Linked DNA regions of Caenorhabditis elegans. The protein of the gene in region 2 interacts with the protein of the main gene of each other region in a pairwise test. Each region holds a gene or a part of one and is shown on either strand. Other genes may lie near its edges. The genes, in order: apc-1, F47G4.4 and F07F6.8.

Region 1 (6,410 bases), on a different chromosome or scaffold from region 2:
AAATATAATTTTCAGAAACTTATAAGCACGGCGCTCTCATTGGTACTTGTAGCTACAGTAACTTGCACTCATTTGCAAAATGGATAGAAAATTTTGTGTATCCGGATGTCGCCGACCATGTTAATGTGAGGATCTACATTTTTTTTCACCTGTCATTACAAAATTTCAGGCATTTGAAATTTCGCTGATAAGAATTACGGAAGCCGGCACTAACAAAGCTCAAGGTGTATGTAAATATCCGGATAATAAATTCACAACGATCCGAACGCCAGTTTTCCAGGCTATGAATTTGCAGGAGGACAAAGAAAGTAAGTTTGATAGTGATTAAACGAAATTCAACAAAAACTAGATTGCAGATCTGAAATTGTCGGACCATCCAGTTCTCCTCGGCATTCTCTCCAAACCCCCAATCGTAAAATGTGGAGTAAAACGACGACACGACTCAGAAAATGGGGAAAACGAATTTACAATAAAATTAAAGAAGGTATTGAAACACAGCAGTTAAACATAATTTTAATTTCTTTTCAGAAATCGCCTAAAACGACTTCTGAGCGGACTTAATTACAACTTGGAAGATTCTCAACAATGTGCCATCGAGTTTTATGTGATATACAGTTTTTCTCTAGTATTTAGAATAAAAGTTTTTAATAAATTCATTTTGTTAAAGAACTAGAAGGAAAATAGGCAAAAGAAAATGCAAAAACAAAAAAGAAAAAATAAAGAAAACTCCAATTGCTCGTCATATGTGATGCGTTACAGTAATATCTGTGCGGCACGCAGACGCAACATTGCACAGCGCGGGAAAATTTGTTGTTGACAATTTAAGTTTATACTCCCAAAAAATTGTTTTTTCTCTTTTCAAATGAAAGTTTTGCTGAAGTATTGTGTTTATTTTTGTTTAATTAAAAGTTTTTAAGCGGCGGCAGTGTTAATAAGTGATTCAAGCTGGAATTATCAACTGAAATCAACCAAAAAATCGGCCTGTCGGTCTGTTCTAGCGGTAGAATTCTAAAAACATCATGAATACAGTTTATATGTTTGTTTAAAAACATTTATTGATAAACCTTTTCGAAACGTACTAATTCCCGCCGTATGGCCGGTTTTTAGTGGACTAGGCAACGCTCGGTTTCTAGGCTCTCCCGCGCTATTATACTCATTTGAATTTATCCGCTTTTTATTGAATTTTGAATATATATCGAATAGTATTTATTTTCAGATATTAACAAATCAGAAAATGGACACTGAAAACATCGCCGACGCCTCTGATATTCGTGTGAAGGATGCTTCAGGAGATTCAGATGAAAAAGGAAACGGGACTACTACAGAAGAAGAGACTGTCGAGCAGAAGTAAACTTTTGCTGCAGAATATCATCAATAAAATCACTTTTCGTATTCCAGAGAGAAGCGTCTCGCCGAGTTGCTTGCAGCTGGACGCCGTGCGTTGAAAGTTAACGATATCGACAAAGCATCGGATTCGTTGAGTGAGGCTACTGAACTGAGCTCCGAAATTTATGGAGAAAACCATGAAAACACGTTCGATTCTCTTTACTATTATGGCATGGCCACACTGGAATTGGCGAAGGAGGAGAGCCAACTTCTGAAAGGTCCAGGTGAGAAGGAAAGCGGAGATGAGGAGCAAGCTGGAAATTCTGATGACAAGACTGACGAAGAGAATGGAGAAACGGAGAAGGAGGACGGAGAGGAATCCGGTGAAGAAGAGGACGATGATGATGATACCATGAAATTATCATGGGAAATTCTTGAGGTTTCTTATTTTATTCAATGATTTTATGCTTAATTGTGATTATTTTCAGACAGCTCGTTGTATTGCCGCTGCCAAAATCGAAGCTCTAGAAGCTGAGCAGAGTGGAATCAGTGCCATTGAGGAATGGAACCTGAAACTCGCTGATGTACTGGTTCTCCTCGGCGAGCACGGAATATCAGATGGAAAGTATACTCAGGCTTTTGAGGACTTGGATCGTGCCCTCAACATTCAGCGCAATGTTCTTCCACCGTCGTCGAGAAAAATCGCCCAAACCTACATTCTCATCGGAAACGCGTGTGCTAGCGATGCGAATTACGATGAAACCGTTCAGTACTTCGGCAAAACCAAGGACGTACTCATCGCCAGGCAGACTGAGTTGAAGCATGAGCTGGAAAGAGGTGTTGATGATAAGGAAAAGAAGTCTGAATTTGAGAATGAGCTGAAGGAGCTTGAAGAGATGATGCCAGGCGTTGAAGAAATGATTGCTGATGCTGTGCACTCTGCAGCACAAGTTGAGGAAACTAAGAAGGCCATTAAAGCGCAATTCGAAGGATTCACACAAGTATTGGCAAAACTTCCACAAGAAGCCGGTGATCAGAAGGAAGCAAATGATATTTCTAGCTTGGTACGGTTTGAATTAACTTCCCGTAGACTTTTTAAATATTCAATTAACAAATTTCCAGGTTCGTCGTCCAGCAAAACGAGCAGTGGATGCTCCAACTGACAATCAAGCAGTGAAGAAAGAAAAGGAGGAGGAAGGAACAACTTCGATCTGAATATTGATAACCTGTAATTCTAAATATTTCATCATGATCTGACCTACTGAACTACTGATAATGTATCAATTAACATTTTATCTGTTATCCGAATTTAAGGATTCTAAAGTAAAACTTGTTCTGTATATATATATTCGCCATATATTCGTTTTTATAATTTGTTTCAAATCTTTTTCATACTTCCAAAATAATTTTACTATTTAAAACAGGATTTTCAGCTTCATTCAAATTCGAATTATACTTGTATGAGTGAAGAATTTGATGATTGCCATTGGAAAAATATGATCTCTGCTAATAAACAGTTTGATATTCAGCTGGGAGATGAAATTGGAAAGGTAATTTTTTTTAGATAATTAACAATTTAAAAAAAGTAAACTTAAATTTTCAGGATTTCTTCACCCAGGATACAGTGGTCTGCGCGTTTCGAAACAAGGAGAAGACCACGGATTTTGTCTTCACATCGGGTCCAATTATTCTCATTTGTGATGGAACGACGCGACGGAAGATGATTAAACGACGGTTCAAAATGGAGTTTGATATCAAAAAAGTGTTCTTCCACTCGTTCATTGTGACTCGAAACGCTGAAAAGTTGGCAACTGAGAATTGTGGTGGACCTGATACGAAGCATCGGGATTATTTGGTTGTGTGCGGTGAGCATAAGCTCCAGTTCATATCGCTTCCCGACTATCATTTCTATCACTATGAAATTCCTTTTAAGGTGAGAATTTAGTTTGAAATTCTGATAATTTCAAATATTTCCAGCTTCGCAACGTGTTCTCCTGCTCGACAAGTCTTCTGGTCGAACGGTTCTACGATTCATCCAGCGAACAAACCTTCCACCATCACGACACATTTCACCTCTACTCGCTATCCGGTCCATTCGGCGAGCTTCTCCCGGTTATCTACAAGACAAGCGGCTACCATCCACAATGGAAATTCTGTTGGCAATCGCATCGAGACGAGGCTGGACTCGTTGACGCTCAGCAAAATTACGTTGTTGTCTATGATCAGAAGGAGAAGACGCATCGGATTTATATGGCACGAGAGACACAAGAACAGGAAGTTCACGCAGCGATTCGATACGTTGAAGCACTCAGAAGACCGTCTGATTCAACAATGTTCGCGTCGAGTTTGGCGCCGAATTCTGCCGGCAGAACTACGCATTTTGATCCGACACTCAACTCTCCCGCCGGTAATTTTTGAAAACTTGAGCTTTTGGATAAATATATTATTCGTATTGTATCAGACATTCAAATCGTCAATATTTAGTTAATTTACAGTGATTTAAGTTAAAAACCAAAAAAACCTCGTTTCGAACAGGAAATAATTCGATTTTCCCCAAAAACTACTAAAAAAATCAAATGTTAAATTAGAAAGAGTTGTGATTAAAAACTAAAAAATAAATATTTTCAATTATGATATAGTGTGGAAGTCCGAGTTAATTTATATTCAACAAAAAATCATAATTATTTTCCAGAAAATGTGCTCTCCGAAGTGATCAGCTCGGAAATTGATAGCCGCTCACCGTTCACTCCTCATCTGCGATCCGGTTTTGGACATTCTACTCCAAACAACCCGAACGCTCCAGGCTACCCTGCAACACTTCCAACACCGAATTTTGAAGGTAATTTTTTTTTTTAATTCATAAAAATTTATTAGCACCATTAACCTCAAGTCGTGGGCGATCGTGCACGATGATGATGATCAAAATTTAAAAGTGTTATGCTTCGCCGTTGCTGATGCGCTCGTCCTGGCACTCGATTCTGTTTGACTTGATCTTCGAGGGGGCTCAATTGAGACGTCAACTTGAGCAGTTGAATGTCGCAATTATTTAGAAGAATTGACGGGTTGTTGGGAGAAGACATACGGCGGTTTCTGAAAATACGTGAAGTGAGAATTATAGCTGATGTCCGTCAAATTGTTACATACCGTAGTGCTGTGAAGTCTTGGCTATTCCTTTGAAGAGCTCCACCCGCGCGGAACATACTTCTTCGTCGATATGGAGTAATTGGAGATGATGGCTGAGTTGTTGTAGTCGTCGAGTTGCTCTCTGTTGAGCCAAGAAGAGCACACATTGGAGCTAGATTTGAGTAAATTAGAATATGAATTTAGCCAACAGAAACCAACAACAAAAAAACTATAAAACGAAAAGCACACGGCACACAGCAAACCTAGAAGTTAGTGTATTTATTGTTATATATATATATATATATACGTGGTGAGAAGGAAAGTGTAGAAGCGAACAAAATCAACTGAAGAATATCGAGAAAACTATCTAAGTGATCTACGAGGTGGTGGTGGGCGGTGTTTAGATGATGGTGAGCTACGACACGAATGTGAATGATGAACTTGAGACGCACCGATTGCCGGCGACATGTTCGGTTCGAGAAAATGGGAGGCGGATCGGGAACGTGATGAACGCATCGATGCCATTGAGATTATCGAGCTGGAATGTTTAGATTTTTTTGTGGAAGATATGGAAGAGCACTTACTTTGTAATGCTTAACCGAAGAGGTGTCTTTTCACTTGCACATCCCTCATATCCTCGTTTCATTGATTCGATTAACATGCAGGAAAACTGTCTCCAAGACTCACAAACTTCTTCTTCTTCACTTTTCTCCGCTGCCCTAGACCTTATTCTCAATATTCGCCGAATTCTGAAAACCAGTTGATTTCCCACCCGTGATGTAAATTGTCAAAAAGTTACTTGCTATCCTCTGTGACAACCCGCATGTACATTTTGCTCATGGCGATCGGAAGTTGTTGGGCAAACGGAGCCCAAAAGCAGTTGTCATTTCCCTCATTCATATAATGTCTATAAACATTTTTGTGAGTGTTGTCCCACCCACGCATATGACTAACCGATGGCGTGCTCCGAGACGGAAGGAAAGCGTCTTGATCATTTCTGGATCACATTTGTGAACTTTGATGAGTATGTTGAGAAAGTCACGAACTTGATTGATGATGTTGAGAAATTGAGCATTTTCCTTATAGGTAGCGTGCATAGTCTCTGGTAGATCAACAAGAGCCCATACCCATGTGGGTGTTAACTCGGCGGATTTGAGCCAAGCCTCACTGAAAACAATTGCTTTTCAGGAACAGTCTGAAAAAAGAGCTCACCTAATGGCATCACTCAGAAGCTGTGGATCGTGCGAGTTTATTGTATTCCACGTATGTACTACATGTTTTCGATGTGTAGATAGTTGACGAGCAGACTGATTGCCCATTTTGTTGCATAGTCCGGAAGATCTCTGATACACTGAAAATGAGCTTCATCATTAAGTATCTCATCTATCCTAACTGAGCCAATCGTAAAAGAACAGAATGAATCAAAGAATGGATTTTCTCTTTTCTATCTGTTTATAGCAACGGAAGCTTCAAAGAGAGTAGAAAGAGCACACAGTTGTTTAGCATGCTCTTTTCGCGAAGGTGAATAATGAATAATTATGGGTATTCGAATATGTTATGATGAGCTCACGAGGACGTAACATTATTCAAAGAAATAGCTGAAGAAGTTGTTTTTCAGACATTCTCGTCGAAGATGCAATTTTCACAGAAAAAAATTGAGAAAGGAAGTGCGTCGATCTTCTCAAAGATGATTATATAAAGAGAAGAAGGTCACTCATGTGATAGGAGGTTCAAAACAATGAAAATGCAGAGCCGATTTCTTTTTAAAATCGAGTAAAACTTGGAGCGGCCGCCCGACTTAACTAATAGCGTCCGGAATATGATAAATGGGGCGGCGTCTTGGTGCTTCAGCATTGCAAGATGAGACCAGCAGCAGATGTAAAAACAAAATACGTCCTCGACTAAATAAGAAAAATGATTGACAACGACGTCCGATGTGTTCTGGCAGCTATAAGGAAGAA
Region 2 (9,572 bases):
TTAAAGAATTTGAACGCTCACTTAATCTAGGGGGGGGGGGCACATACCTCTTCCGATCCACGGACCCGAGCTCTGCATCCTTCCTCCGAACCTTTGTGGAGTTTGACCTTCGTCGTACAGGTTGCTGTGGGGGGCCTAGACGACTCAGCTCATAGACACTTACGCTTGTTAGTGCCATTTTCTTTAGAAATCTGAATTGCACTGGAAGGAAAATGAGTTTGTAGAAGAACGGGACTTGGAGAGGATTAGCGGAATTTGGGAAGATTCCCAAGCTAAACCCGACAGACTTGAACTTTAAACCAAAAAAAAACCGCAAAAGTTGTACATATAGAGAGGACTAAAGACAAACTTTTATAGGTTCTTTGCAAACTTGAAGACAAGCGCGGAGAGACACATAAGCGGAAGACGTCAATTTTCTCCACTGGGTCACCGACACGAGGGGACACGGAGCAGGGGGCTTGTAGGGGAGAGCGGCTAGAGGGAGTCATAGCAACGCAAGTTCGCTATATCTTTTAATGGAGATATGGAGGGGGGTATAGATTAGTAGGATTTCAAAACATAGATAGTGATTAAATTTTAAATATTGAGGGTCTAGAGAAGGCCTAAAAGCCTAGGGACTTTGCGGGGGCACTTGAAAAGTTCTGCGGACTCAGGACTCGGATGTGTACAAGTGGGCTTGCTGGCTTAAAACCTTTTAATTTATCAATAACTTTAGGATTTCTGAAATCCCCCTCTTATGAATTATAAATCCCTTTTCACACCTCACAACTCACGACTTTGCAATAAGAAGCCCTCAAAGTAAAATTTATGATTTATGATTCAATGATTTATTAAAAAGAGGGAATTCGTAGAGAAACCTGAAAATCTCTGACCCAAATGACTGAAAGACAAGACAAAAGAACAAAAATGCGAGTGGTGGTGGGAATGCTTAACAATATATCACAGATGAGGTAGCTAGATCTTCTTTAAAAGCTCTAGAATCGGGTCGAGTTTGAGAATGGATGGCTCGTCGAGTTGTTTGTAGTACCAGTCGCGTTTTTTGACCAGGGAGCGGAGGTGCTGGAATTATTTGTAGGGTTAATAAGGGCAAAACCCCTACAAGATGCCTACCTGAACACATGCCTTCGCCTTCTCGGCCCTCTCCTCCGCCGCCACATCTACTCCTATCCTATGGGAGTTCATGGACGCAAACTTCACGAGCCTCTCCCCCAGGGTGTCAGCGATCGCTGCGAGACCCTCCAGGGCTATAGCTCGATTTGTAACGTCTACACTGGCTATGTTGTCTGAAAGTTCAAAACATCATTACGACCTTCACTACCAAGCAAGATTACCTATTATGACTGGAAGGTAGGCATGACAGCTGTTCAATGACCAATCGTTCCTCCTGCTCAGTATCCTCGTGGCGGTTAACACTAGTTGCTCATCGGAGCACACTTCTGGAGGGATATCCACGTTGCTCGTTCGACGGGAGGTAAGCATCTTGAGCCGTCGGATGTCTGAATTCCAGTAGTTAACGCTTCAAGCTAGATCCTAAATAACTCACTTCTATTCTCCTTCTTCGCAACTATCCCGATGTCATGTACAGTTTCTATACAAGCTCCCCAGACCCCTACAGGCGTCTTGGCCGACGTGGTAGAGGTCACCGATGACGTGGAATTCTGGCGTCTGGCAGTAGGCCCTGAAGCGGTGGAGGAGGCACGCTTGGCCGGGGAAGAGGTGATCGCGTAGATTGACGGAGGGGAGGTCTTCTTCGCCACGGAAGGCGATGGGCGACGGTTGCGGGATGTGGAGGAGGATACTGTAGATGCGACGTCTCCTTCGCTAGGGGTACGTGGGCGGCCAATGTAGGTGATGGTGATGGGCTCTTGGTTACGGCTGGAAAATTGGAAAGTTTTAGAGTTTTGAAACTTTACTTCCTCTAGTCCTGCTTACCGGCTCGACGTTGACCGCTTCTTCGGAGCCCTCTCACTCAACAAAGACGTCGTAGACCCTGCCATCGACTTTGTCGTCCTCAAATCCGACATAGAAGGCGACGGATTCGCGCGGTTATTGTACCCGCTTAGTGATGGCTTCGACGAGACAATCACACTCTTTGCGGTGCCAAATGTTCGAGGTGGCTTTGTGGAGACTGGGGTCACAGAGCGTGTGGACCCCGCTGGTTTTGGGTTCAGGGTCTTGGTCGATTTTCCAGGAAGCTTCTGAGATGCCGATCGGTGTTTGACGGGAGCTGGCTGTAAGATTTAAGAGGTTGGATGTCAAGCTGCGGCTGTTGGAGCAGGGGAGAGGGAACTCCCTAGAGGGTTTGAAAATATATGGAGAGCTCTTTTAGGTTTTACAAAGCTCAAAGACTGTCTTGTGAGGAAGATTGAGGGGATTGAACTTAGATACAGACTTTGGTCTAAAACTGGAAAATTGCAATTGAGACTAACGACTTGAGACAGCTTACGAGTTTTTAGGCCAATAAAATGAGACTCGGAAGCCTTTTAAACTGGCCCAGAAGCAGTCCGTACTTAAGATATGGGCCTCTGACAAAAATTTATTCTTACCTTAACGGGACTAGTCGGGCTAGAATGGCTGCTGCTACTATTCACAGGTGACGCTGACGTCTCCGTCTCTTCACATGACAAGCCAGGCGACCTCGGCGGCAAATTCGATAACTCTGTGAGCTCCGGTAGCGCTTTTACCTGGAAAATTCCTACATTAACCCCAAGTACAAACCCAAAGCTAATACCTCATCAATCGGCGAGTTATCCACATCCTCATCCTCCTCGTAAATGCTCCCGCAGAGCTCGTGGCTCGGCGAATAGGAGAGCAGCTCTTCTATAGCGTAGGTGCGCATTTCGAGACGTTCAGTGTTGTCTCCAATGCAAATAAAGTCTAAATCCAGACCGTTTGCATTCACGTTGACGACCTGAAATGGCATGGAATTCATAACAAAGGGAAGAAGATTGGAATCTCCGCCAAAAAATAATCAATCATAACTGGCGTTGAAATGTTGGGTTAATGCCTTAAAATGAACATTTTTAGAAATTTGGATTCATGAAAATAAGATAGGAATTTGCTTTCCGATGTGACTTTTTGACTAAGTTTCAAGTCTATAGGACTACTAGTTGGCTAAGTTACAGAGCTAAGAAATTTGATGGCCAAGCCGCGACGCAACCGCAACGCGTGGGTGAAAGCTTACAAGTGTCGTCTAAAAATTTGAAGACTCTACGTCAACTGGTACGCAAGTTACAGGATCTTTAATACTAGAGCACACACTGACAACACTTTTTGCTCACATTTTTCAGTGAGCCAAAAGTGTTGTCAAGTTACTATCCCTACCTTCTCCACATTTTTCAGAGGTACTGTCGTTAGAATATCACAGCAGGGCTCCCAAGTGAGCAGGTTGATAGAATCATTGGTAGCAGCTATCATGACGTGGGCTGAAATTCAATTTTTTGATGTTTTTGGCCCAAAATTAAATATAATTCTTACTATCAAAAGCGCTGGCTTGAATATCATCCAGAAACGGATCGGATTGAGATATCATTTCAAAAGTCTCTAGGCAGAAAAACCGAACTATCCTATCATGACCAACGGAGGAGAGGAGCACATCGCTGGGGTGAAGCTCTAGTGCGTGACCCTGCAAAATTTGATTTTTTAAAAATGGTCAGAAATTCCAGTGAAAAGCACCTACCGAACAGTTAAAAGTTTTGATAAATTCCCGCTGCCTGGCGTCGAAAATCTGTATAGTTTCGTCGGTGCCAACTGCTACATAGCGATCACCAGGTGATAATGCGATACTTCGAACAACGCCAGGGGTTTTGGACCCGAAAATCTGAAAATCATTATATTTTGAAAAGTTTCAGAAAATTTGGGAACGCTTTAAAAAACTGCTTTATTTCAGATATGGTGATTACAAAAAGTTTCAGAAAATTTGGACCACTATGGGCTAAGTTATGTGGTATTGAAGTTTTGGGCGTGCGTCGCGTGTCGCGTCGCGGTCGATCTTCAAAATTAGAAAGTTTCTTTTACAACGCGCGTTGAAAGTCTATAAAAAAGTCTGTTTCTAGAGAATGCTTTCACAAAAAGTTTCAAAATCCTACGACGACTGGGAGCAAAGTTACGGTGCCATAAAATTTCGGCAGTGCGTCGCGTGTCGCGTCGCGGTCTACCTCAATTTTTAAAATGTCAAAGCTTTGCTCACAATTGAGTCGGAGGTGTGAAATTTGGCCAATAGTGTTATCTAGTATTTATCTGCCATTTTTGATAAAAATTTGGGCACGCGTCGCGGTTGCGTCGCGGCTCGGTATCACAGAGGATTTGAAGCTTGGACACTTTTTGGATAGTATTTTTGCACTTTTCAACTCACTTTAGACGGATTCATCCTAGTATCCCACTGCGTCCAATCACAATCCGATGACCCGGTGTACCAGCAGTAAGGGTTGAACTTGCTAGCGGCTAGGGAGGTTATTGGCAAGGTGTGTCCCGTTAGATTCCGCACCTCGTGACCTGTTATAATATCCGCAACTTTGAGAATCGCATTTGTCGCCGCACCGATCGTCCGTTCATCTGTGGAGAGTCGGAGGCACTCGATGGGTAGCTCACTGAGAGTTGAGGTGCTTGGGAGCTGAAAAATTTGTTTTTGTATAAATAGGTACATTTCAAGCTTTTATAGAAAATTAGAATGTGGTAAACTTAACAGAGTCACTCAAAAAATTTCAGAGCTCTAGGACCATTTTGAGCCAAGTTAGATAACCGCGACGCGACCGCGCCGCATGCGCCAATTTTCGATGCACCATAACTATGCTCCAAAGCGTGCCAGAGCTCTGAAATTTTTTCTGAAGTTTTAGATCGGCTAGAGCTATTCTTTTCAACATTTCCTGTCAAGTTATGAACCTATTGAAAATTTTCCAGCTCCCCCTTCCCAAAGACTTTTCAAATTCCCTGCCCAGCAGATCAATCATCTAGATATGGAACCCTTTCACACCCTTTTTCAATGTTCGCATCCCCATGAGAATTCCGGATCAAAACTTATCGCTGGGCAGAATCTTGTTATTAGAGAGGCGAGACGCAGAGACAGTAACACTTCTCAAATTGACAACTACGGTTCGATAAGCAGCGAAAGTGCCGAGGGGATTATTGACGGCTCGTTAGGTACAAAGAGGATTATACGGGGTGGGGGAAGATCGGAAGAGGAGGAAATTAAATGGGTGGCCGAAAATTTTTTTTGTTGCTTAAAAAGTTTAAAGCTAGATATTTGAATAGTACATGTAATTTTGAGGCTTCTGCAAAAATGTCAGAGCTTTAGGACCTTGGTGAGCAAATTTATCAAGCTTTAAAGTTTAGGAGGTGGCCGCGACGCGACCGCAACGCCTGGTCAAAATTCTAAAGCTTCATATCTTAGCTCTCAAAAGACCGAGAGCTCTGAAATTTTTTGACACTGTAATTTAGGTTTTTTCCAAAGTTTGACTGCAAACTGTGAACAATGTAAGATTTTTTAAAAATCTGGATAATCCTTTTATATCCGTCTGACCCCAAAAACGCCCCAAAACAATGAATAATTGCTCTGGAAAGAGACTCGCAACATGTGGTCCCACTCATTATAAGCAGATGGCCCTGGACTACAAAAAGAACACTTACCGGCTCAGAACACCCCTCCAGTGGAAGCACTTCGTATGGTCCCGCGCAGATGACGGAGCGGTGTCGACGCGAAAGGACTGCCGAATGGACCGTCGAGTGCGGTAGTGCCGATACCACTGAAAAATGGGAAAGGTTGCTATATGTTAAGGAGTTTCAAAATTTGGTTGAAGCGACGCGGTTGCGTCGCGGCCCAATGAATTGGTTGCTAACGATAATGAAAGCTTAATTTAAAATCAGCTCTGAGAAAAAATTTCAAAGCTGTAGGTCAATTTTGAGCTGAGTTACAGGGCTTTGAAGTTAAGTAGGTGCGGCGCGGTTGCGTCGCGGTTGAACTAGATACTTTGAAGCCTTATAACTCAGTGCAAAGTTAAGCTACGGCTCTGAAATTTTCAATATATACTAATCCAAAAGTGCAAATTTTTAATTTATAATTGGAAATTTTATATTTTGAGATTCGAACAAATTTTTTTTTTCTCCTCCAAATTTAGACAAACCCTTTGGGAATACATTTGTACTTTTATTTTTACGGCCCTCTTTTCTCTTAGAGGAGCATGGAACACATCCAATTTCCAATTTCCAGGCGGGTGCACCACAATACTAAAATTTAATTACTTTTCCACCCCAGAAGCTTGGGTTAGAGTTTACGTCATCAATTGGCATAGTTAGAGAGTTTGGAATAGATTTGGATGAAATTTAAAGTCTGATTGTGAGCAAAATTTTAGAAATTTTGGAGAAATATGTTTTTTGAGAAAAAAAAACATTTTTGGTCAAAAACTTTCAAATGTTCAAAATTGTGGTTTTTTTCTAAATTTTACTTATGACATTGTAAAGAGCAATATTTTATTAATTTTTACTGTAAAAGTACCTTAAAACCTATAGTTGTTACCCTATAAGATTCCAGTCAGCCTGAACGCAGTACCAACAAACTTCAGGCTCCTCTAACTCTGCGGAGAGCAAGGCTATCAAAATTTTGTCAACGATGAAAATGTTTATCACACAATTTTCTATGTTTTGATAGTTGGCAACATTTTAATAGCTCTCGTAGTTTTGGAGATATGAAAGTTTGAAAAAATCTCGAAAAAATTTTTTTTTTGAAAATTGGAAAATTTTTTTGAAATTTTTTTAGTAACCAGCATACATATGTATTTTTAATTAAAATTAGCATTTTCTAAATTAAAAAAATCAAAACCAACCTTCAATTTTCATGTTTTGTACAATTTGCTCCGCATGGGAAGAATATGACACTGAAAAAAAATCTTGAAATTAGCTGAAATTTCCAAAAATAACCGCAGTTTAAAGAGCTGTACAGTAGTGAAAAAAAAATAGAAAAAGTGAGAAAAAAAGAGGGAAATTGAATTTATAGAGCGTCGAGACAGAAAGAAGGGGGAAAATTTTATTTTCGGATTTTTTTTTCGGGAAAATAGACAAAATAGACACCAGGGTGTGTGTTTTCAATTAAAATCCTAAAACCGAACACCATGAAAAAAACATTGAAAAACATTGGAAAGAATCAATCCAATGAATTTTGGAAAAAGGGCCGAAAATAGATGAAAACAAGGAAGAACTCGAGGAGGGGGGGGGGGAGAGAAAAAGTGGCATAACTTCTGGGAAACTGAAGATTTTTAAAAATTGTCAACTATCAAAATGTTAAGCATAACATTTGCACCATTTTTTTAGTTGCCAACTTTTTGATAGCTGCCACCAATAAAAAGTTATAAAAGAAAAAACTACCATACCTCAAATTTGTGAAAAGTTATCAAAAAGTTGTCAATTTACAAAATGTTAAGCAAAAAATTTCCTTTATTTTGTTAGTTGACAACTTTTTAATTAATTCAGTAGTTTTTGAAATATGGAAGTTCAAACTAAAAATAAAAAAAACCACAACAATTTTTAATTTTTTTTGAAGTTGGAGTGATTTAAAACTTTTTTAAATTTGCTTAGTTTAAACAATTTTCAAAAATAAATTTTGAAATAAATTTTGTAGTTTTTAAAGATGTAACAGTAAAACAAATTTAAGATTTTTTTTTAATTTTCATTTTTAACCACATTTTTGAAACGTTGAAATCTTTTCCTATTATCATATTTTAAATTTTATTTTTACAATTTAACAAAATATGAAAAATTTGTTGAAAATATGATAATAGTTAAAGATATCAATGTTTCGAAAAGGTGGTTAAAAATTAAATAATTTTATATTTATAAAATTTAAAAATGATTTTTAAAAAAACTTAAAGTTTTAATAGATTTTAAAAGCTTTTCTTGTTTTAAGAAACTTCATATTTTTCAGCAAAAAATTCCCTCACAAAATGTTTTTTTCTAGTTTAGCAAAATTTTGCAAAGTAATTTTTTATCACCGAAAATGCTCTTTTTCGGTAGTCGAAAAGGAAAACTAGCGGAAAACGGAGCAAAATTCACAAAAAAAAAACACAAGAAAAAGCAAAGACAGAGAGCAAATAAAGTGAGAGCAAAAACGGAACGTGAGTGAGGAGGAGGAGTACATGTTTGCCATAGGGTACCCCCTTATCACTTTTTCGTAATAAATGTCACTTTTAAGGTATGAATAATGCGTAAAATACTTGAAAAGTTGGAGAAAATTGATTCAAAAAAATAAAATTCTATATAGTTGTGGCTCTCTAGCTTCAAAATAAATGAACATAGAAAAAATTGTCAACTAAAAAATTAATTGACAAGAAATTTGCTAAATTTTGTTAGTTGGCAACTTTTTGACAAGTCTCATAGTTTCAGAATTACAGGGGTTTGAAAATTTTGAAAAATGTTTTTCAAATTTTTTAAATCTACAATTTTAAAACTCATGTATCTCCAAAACTAAAACAGCTGTCAGAAACTTTTTAACTAATAAAATGTAGTAAAATTTTAGTTCTATAATTTACTAGTGAACTACTTTTTGATAGCTTGCAAATTGGCAAAGTTAAAATGGCTTCAAAATTTGCTCAAAAAAAATTTCAATTTTTTTTAATCTACAATTTTAAAACTCGTATATCTCCAAAACTAAAATATCTATCAAAAATTTTTCAACTGATGAAATGTAGCAAAATTTTAGTACTATAAATCACTAGTTAATAATTTTTTGATATCTTGCAAATTGGCACATTTATAGGCGCTTCAAACTATGCTCAAAAAAATTTTTTTCGGAAAATCTCGAATGTATACAAAATTAGGAACAATCAAATAATAATATAACTATGATATTATTAGGGTTGGTTGTTGTTGTACTGTTCTTCACCCCCCCCCCCCCCCCCCGCAAAAGATGACACTGTCGTGCTGTACTTGTAGAGAGTATTGCGGGAAAAGAGACGGCAGATACAGAGACACATTATGCTAATGTTCCGACCCCGCGCGGCAACCGGAGGCACGAGAAACGGACGGACGAATAGAGAAAGAAAAGGCGCATTTCGAATTCTTGTCTTTAAATGTCTGCGTCTCACTATCCCTCTCACCCCCCATCGCCTCCTTTTGTTGTATGTTTGCGCAGCTGAAGAGGGGGAGAGAGAAGAACCCCCAGGAATAATTGAGCTGGTTGGCTACTACTAGATTTGGTACTTATTTCTATAGAGTGAATGCAACAATTGAAACATGCCAAAGAAACAGGAACCAAGTTTTTTTCTTGATTTTAAGAAAAAAAAATTTACAAAAAAACAATTTCATATAAATTCTAGAAAAACAAGTAGATCGTAAAATTTTAAGATTTTTGCAAAAAAGTTCAAGTTTCTAGCTTCAAAATAAACAAAGTTACGGCGTTTTGAAGTTTGGTGGCCATGCGGCGCGGCTGCGTCGGCGTGTGCGTCGGCGTGCGCGTCGCGGCGCCCCCGCAACTTAAAACCTTCATAACTTTGCTACCAGTAGAGCTAGAGTGCTGACATTTTTGGAGAATAATCAATATCTAGTTACTCGGCATTTACCTGCAGCTTCTTGCCCAACTTTAGCTC
Region 3 (5,695 bases), on a different chromosome or scaffold from region 2:
AAAAGATCCTACAAAAGCCGCTTCAGTCGATCGTCTCGGAATGGGAGGTGTCGGTAGATCCCGTGCCGCTCATTCAGTCGCTGGTGGTATTCGATCTATTAAACAGGATGATGTTCTTACGTTCAAGAAACCTTCACAGCCAAAAGAAGATGACGATTGGGAGGTTATTGATGATAAGTACGGAAAGAAAAGTACGAACAACGAGGATGATTTCTTCTCAAAAGACTATACTTCGAGTAGTAGCAAGAAAACAACAAAGGAAGATGATTTCTTTGACTCATTTGAGACGCAACCTGTGCAGTAAGTGAAATTATATAAAATTAATTTAAAACACGACTTTACGACTTTTTTCCAGAAAATCCCGCTATACCGCATCTTCTTCCTCTTCGTCAACATCCCGTGCACCAACGACTCGCCTGACTGCTGGAGCATCTCCAATTTCGGATGTTGATCTTCAGAAGAAATTCGGAAATGCTAAAGCTATCTCAAGTGATATGTACTTTGGAACGCCTGAAATGGATGTATGTTTTTATATTATTGGTAATATTTTTAAATTTACAATTTTATATATTTTCAGTGTGAAACAAGAAGTGCATTGACCAAGTGTGAAGGACAGACTTCATTTGGATCCGAAGATTTGTGGGGTAACGGAAGCCAGCAACGTCAATCTAGTCAAGTAAGCTCGAAGCTGTCATCGAAATTAAAATATTCTAAATCTAATTTTCAGGTTCCTGATATGTCTGATTTGAAAGATTCTTTCCGTGCCGGAGCTTCAAAGGTCGCTGAGAAATGGTCAACGCTGTCGAGTTCATTCTCTACTTACATGTCGGTAAGTAAATTTTTATTCCAAAGTTTTCTGGAGGTATTGAAAAAATATAAGACAGTTTAAAAATTAAAATAAGTTTATAATCCACAATTCAGCGTGCTCCTCCAGCAACTGGAGAAAAAACATAAATTCCTGGCTTTTAACGGCGAGTTTATCCCATCCGTAAAATTGGTTTTTAATGTTGTTTTCTTTTAGTTTTGTCTTTATCTTTTATTTTTCAACCTATGGGTTTTTGTATTCTCACTGAATTTCGGGTCTTTCAAAACTTTTTTACTTTATTTTATTGAATGTTGTGTGTCATTGGGTTTTTCAATTTCTTTTGTCGTTGTGAATGTTTCATATATCAGTTTTGTTGGGCACAAACTTAAGTTAACTTCCATTCAAAAAAAAACCTTCAAATTGAGAAAATCGTAATTGCAAGCTGTGTAGATTTACTGTAAACAACACACACATCCGGAATAACGGAGTGTCGTAGTTTATTTTCATTTTTTCGAATTTCGTTTTGTTTTAACAATTATATTTTTCTTCTAAATTCCTTAAGAGCGTTTCAATTTTTTTTTGTTGAAAATTGTCATGACTAGCATCTAACTCAGGGAAATTTAAAAAAATTTCTATAACTTGAAAATTCGCTTTGCATTGAGCCCTGACCAAAACAAGTCACCCTCTCAGCTGCTCATTTTCTTATTTTCGTCGCGAGAACGCAAACAAGGATAAACTTGACCAAAAAACACGTTTGTTTACCATGCAAGCTTTGTTTTTTGGTCCGAAATTGGTTTTTAATACGTAAATATGTACCCATAAATACTGAATAAAAGTATCAAAATTAATTCGAGAGACATTTTTTTTTACTTTCAATTTCCGAAGTAGATTAACGAAATTTCGTAATAGTTTGGTCACATTGTGATACGTAGCTGTATTAGTGTTCGTCTGGGTCTCTTCTTTTATAACTATAATAACCAACTTGAACATTTTTATTTCAGGACCGCTAACTTCGTCCTACTGCTCTCCATCGACTTCATGATTCAAATCCCAATCATCAATCGATAATTGCTCTCGTTCGCCTTATTTCCCAATTCTTCCCATTTCCGCTTCGTATCATACCTACTGAATTTTCTTATCAATATACTTGGGAACTGTCTTATTCTATGTGTGATAATATTGCCTTTATTCGCCTTCCTCATCATAATTTAGTCAACTTCTTCCATTGAAATTGAACAAAATACTAGCTGCTGTAGTCTTCACCTTTTTCTCTCTTCATTCTAGAATCACTTGATTCTCACTCAGTGAGCCTTGTCCCACCACAGTCTCTGTCGTCTCTTTCTCTAATCGAGAGGGTCAACGTGTCATGGGAGGCACCCGAGAACGACATAGAAGAGGGGGAAGGCCATTGGGTTGTAAACATGTGATTCTTCGATCGATTCTATCTTTTTTTCGTACATTTTTTGTCGTTTTCATTTACCCGTCTTTGGCTTTCCCCCCTTCTAGATATTTATTTTATTTATTGCACCATACTAAATTCTAGATCATATTTTCTAAACCAGTCCTTGTGACTTTTTGGGCAGTGTGGGAAAATCAGGAGTTTTTCATCAGTCACTTGTTTTCCTGTTTTGATTTTTGCGTCAAATTATTTATGTCGCGATCCATATTTTTCCGAATTTACATGTTAGCCCCAGTCTTCCAACTTTTGTTTCCTTCTATCAAAATGCTCTTCCCGTCTTGGAATTTTTCGAAGTTTAGGGTATTTTTTATTGATTTCTGTTTCACTTCTAATCCTCCCACACTTCGCGATTTTTAAATATTTTTCTGGTAATGAACTCATGTTTTCATTTTTGTCAAAATTCAGATAAAATCAGACAAGATGCAGATCAAAGATGATCACGACGACGCAGGTTCTCAGTCGGAAGACAACGGAGTTCCAATTTACGATTCATTGGAAAGCTTGCTATTTGTAAGATTTTTTTTAAAGTTTCAATAATACGGTACTGGGTATTTTGTAAAATTCCAGCGGGTGTGCGCCTTTAAAGAGTACTGTAATTTCAAACTTTTGCTGCTGCGGATTTTTACTCGACTTTTCATTGTTTTTTTCCCTAAAAAAATTGTTTTCAATAAACTAAAACAATGAAAACACAAACATTTTCAAAAAATTGCGAGAAAACTATGAAAAGTCGATGAAAATTCCAAGCCACTATACTTCGAACCTACTGTACTCTTTAAAGGCGCACATCCGGTTGTATTTAACAAAAATTGTCGTATCGAGACCGGGTACCGCATCTTTCCACAAAAAATTCCCGTCTTCGTAATATAATTATTAATGAATTTAGATTCCAAGGTCAATGTCAAAAGAATTGAGTGAAACAGCATTGCGTACACAGTTTTTATTGGACAAATGGAGCAATAATCGAAGAAAAATTGTCAGACAAATGGAAGGAATTGCTGAGAAGGTATGTACTTTAATGCGAGATTTTAATCAAAATGAATTTTAAAATTTTTAATTTCAGCTGGATAATTGGGAGAAAGGATGTGCAATTTCAACAGCTGTCGGAAGTACCGTTGGTATTGCATCTGGAATTGCAGTTATTGGAGGACTTATCTTGATGCCACCAGTTGCAATTGCTGGTCTCATCGTTGGAACAGCTTCAGGAGTTTCCAATTTGGCGACAGGCATCACGAAATTTTTTCATACAAAAGGGCAGCACAAAGAAGTAGCTGCAATGATTGCAGAAGACGGTGTACTTTTTGAAGAACTTCTGAAATCAAGAGAAGAACTTATGGAAGCTGTTCGGAAAATTGTTGAAGATGAGGAATTCTTTAAACATTTCAAAAACGACGGGGACATTGAAAATAAGCTGAAAACTGTGTTCGGTGGATCAGTTACTGGAATAACTGGAATTGGAACTAGATTTGCAATTACTTCGATGGTAAGCTCTTTTTATTATTTTTTTCATCAATATTATTTATTTTCCAGGGTCGCCTCTCCTCTTCTCTTGTCAAAGGAGTTCTTCACAGTGTAGCTGTAATTGGAATCGTTCTAGACAGTGTCACATTGGCGTTGAGCGCCAAGGTACAACAATTAATTTGAAATTTTCAAAATAAAATATACAAATTTCAGACTCTTGGAGAAGGATCCGTGTCGGAACTTGGATCTTCTATTTTAGAAGCATCTTCCAAAATGGAAATGATGCGCCAAAAAGTGGTAAAACACTTTTTGAATGAAGACGTCTGGAAAGACGATGATGACGTCCTCTCCGATGTTGGTTCTATTGAAATGGTGCAGCCAGAATCTCCAAATCAGTCACTGATAATGGATCCACATCAACAAGAATCATCTGTACAACATTAATATCGGGATTTTGAATTTTTCTGGGTTTCACTACTGTTTTGTTGTTATTTTGCGAAAGTTTCATGCGAATAAATAAAATAAATTCGGCACTTCAAGTGTGGGCATTGTGAAAATAACGGAAACCCGAAAATGGTAAATATCGATTAAAATCCAGAAAGAATGCGAGCTACAGTATACTCTACAGTACTAATTTAAAGGCTCAGATGTTCAATATTCCAGGTGGTCTTGAAAAGACACCTCATTGCTCAGAATAAAAATCAAAAACGAATCCGTGTTTTTAAGGAATTATTTTTTATTGTACTGTAACTTGTCTTCATTTAAATTCTTGTTTTCTTATTAAATTATTCACTATTTCAAATTCTAAATTAACTGATTCAGAGACTTATCTACAAACTGCAAAGCGATATGTCAATCTATGAATCTTTGAAAAGCACGTTGATGGTAAGATTTTTATTCAAATTCATTTTTTATAATTTATATTTCTTGTTCAGAATGGCGAAGAAATGCCAAAGGAACTCCAGGTTAAAGCCTGGGGAGCTCAATGGCACCTCGATCGTTGGAGCTCAAACCGACAAGAGATCATGAACCGAATGGAGGAGATTGCTAAAGATGTAGGTCGATAAAACATAGTTTTTCTATTTATTTTCTAAATTTCAGCTTGACGGATTGGAGAAGGCTTCAGCCATCGCAACAACTGTCGGAAGTTCCGTTGATATTGCATCTGGACTTGCAGTTTTCGGAGGACTATTCTTCATGCCACCAGTTGCAATTGCTGGTCTCATCGTTGGAGCAGCTTCCGGCGTCTCAAATGTCGCAACTGGAGTGAACAAGAAGCTTGCTACCGATCATAAAATCAGAGAAATCAATCGAATGCTCGCGGAGGATGCGAAGTTTTTTGAGGAACTTCTTCATTCGAGAAATGATTTGTTGAACGAAGTGAGGAGATTTGTGGAGGACAAGCAATCGTCAAAGATTTTCAAAAACTTCGACGATGTCCAGTCTCATTTGAAAACACTTTTTGGTGTTTCTCTCGCCGGAATCACAGGATTCGGAATTAAAATGGCCGCATCTTCCATGGTAGAATAGTTGTTTTTTTGAAATTTAAATTTTTACCTTCGTTTTTAGGGCCATCTCACGAATGCACTTATGAAAGGAATGCTGCAGAGCGTTGCAGCCATCGGAATCGTTCTGGACGGTGTTACCCTGGCCATGAGCGCTAATGTAACCGCGAACAATGTTATCAAAATATAATATTAATTTCATTTCAGACGCTTAAAAACGGATCTTCCTCTGAATTGGCAGGAAAAATTCGTGAAGCTTCCGGCAAGATGGAAAGGATGCGACACAATGTTGTAACCAACTTCTTGAATTACGACGCCTGGAACAGCGATTAGTTTTCACTTTTCAAAGTTTCTTGATTTTTTTCTTGTTGATTTTCTTTTCTTTTTGTTGTTTTCTCGTTGTTATTTTTCTTGTTGTTGTTCTTATAAAATCTGACACTGAATTAAAATGTTCATTTTTTTGACAAC

What was found.
Region 1: the proteins of F47G4.4 (region 2) and apc-1 interact in a two-hybrid assay, tested with the Caenorhabditis elegans proteins (one large-scale study listed by BioGRID).
Region 3: the proteins of F47G4.4 (region 2) and F07F6.8 interact in a two-hybrid assay, tested with the Caenorhabditis elegans proteins (one large-scale study listed by BioGRID).

Annotation. Positions count from the first base shown.
Region 1 is NC_003280.10:11,105,402-11,111,811, forward strand, and holds the start of apc-1 (Anaphase-promoting complex subunit 1), read left to right. Parts: upstream 1-2,759; 5' UTR 2,760-2,822; coding exon 2,823-2,876; intron 2,877-2,929; coding exon 2,930-3,259; intron 3,260-3,303; coding exon 3,304-3,733; intron 3,734-4,018; coding exon 4,019-4,165; intron 4,166-4,169; exon of another isoform or gene 4,170-4,211; coding exon of another isoform or gene 4,212-4,416; intron 4,417-4,470; coding exon of another isoform or gene 4,471-4,621; intron 4,622-4,901; coding exon of another isoform or gene 4,902-4,987; intron 4,988-5,033; coding exon of another isoform or gene 5,034-5,198; intron 5,199-5,248; coding exon of another isoform or gene 5,249-5,356; intron 5,357-5,403; coding exon of another isoform or gene 5,404-5,616; intron 5,617-5,661; coding exon of another isoform or gene 5,662-5,768; exon of another isoform or gene 5,769-5,806; intron 5,807-5,829; exon of another isoform or gene 5,830-5,952; intron 5,953-6,410. Other genes in the region: C09H10.9 (YqaJ domain-containing protein), read left to right, coding at 16-125, 170-308, 357-484, 529-561; nasp-1 (Protein NASP homolog 1), read left to right, coding at 1,235-1,347, 1,399-1,765, 1,815-2,390, 2,449-2,541; glb-4 (GLOBIN domain-containing protein), read right to left, coding at 4,212-4,416, 4,471-4,621, 4,902-4,987, 5,034-5,198, 5,249-5,356, 5,404-5,616, 5,662-5,768. UniProt on the Caenorhabditis elegans protein: Probable component of the anaphase promoting complex/cyclosome (APC/C), a cell cycle-regulated E3 ubiquitin ligase that controls progression through mitosis and the G1 phase of the cell cycle.
Region 2 is NC_003279.8:14,061,935-14,071,506, forward strand, and holds F47G4.4 (WD_REPEATS_REGION domain-containing protein), read right to left. Parts: upstream 6,870-9,572; 5' UTR 6,832-6,869; coding exon 6,819-6,831; intron 5,742-6,818; coding exon 5,626-5,741; intron 4,613-5,625; coding exon 4,355-4,612; intron 3,821-4,354; coding exon 3,680-3,820; intron 3,626-3,679; coding exon 3,478-3,625; intron 3,426-3,477; coding exon 3,325-3,425; intron 2,912-3,324; coding exon 2,732-2,911; intron 2,685-2,731; coding exon 2,547-2,684; intron 2,232-2,546; coding exon 1,933-2,231; intron 1,876-1,932; coding exon 1,544-1,875; intron 1,497-1,543; coding exon 1,332-1,496; intron 1,284-1,331; coding exon 1,111-1,283; intron 1,060-1,110; coding exon 955-1,059; 3' UTR 815-954; downstream 1-814. Other genes in the region: F47G4.5 (Katanin_con80 domain-containing protein), read right to left, coding at 48-178.
Region 3 is NC_003280.10:5,422,708-5,428,402, reverse strand, and holds F07F6.8 (Apolipoprotein L3-like), read left to right. Parts: upstream 1-2,669; 5' UTR 2,670-2,684; coding exon 2,685-2,774; intron 2,775-3,147; coding exon 3,148-3,267; intron 3,268-3,324; coding exon 3,325-3,744; intron 3,745-3,791; coding exon 3,792-3,887; intron 3,888-3,935; coding exon 3,936-4,166; 3' UTR 4,167-4,262; downstream 4,263-5,695. Other genes in the region: rfgp-2 (ARF GTPase activating Protein), read left to right, coding at 1-300, 356-521, 578-676, 728-829, 922-954; F07F6.7 (Apolipoprotein L, 1), read left to right, coding at 4,572-4,607, 4,658-4,777, 4,824-5,243, 5,292-5,387, 5,435-5,560.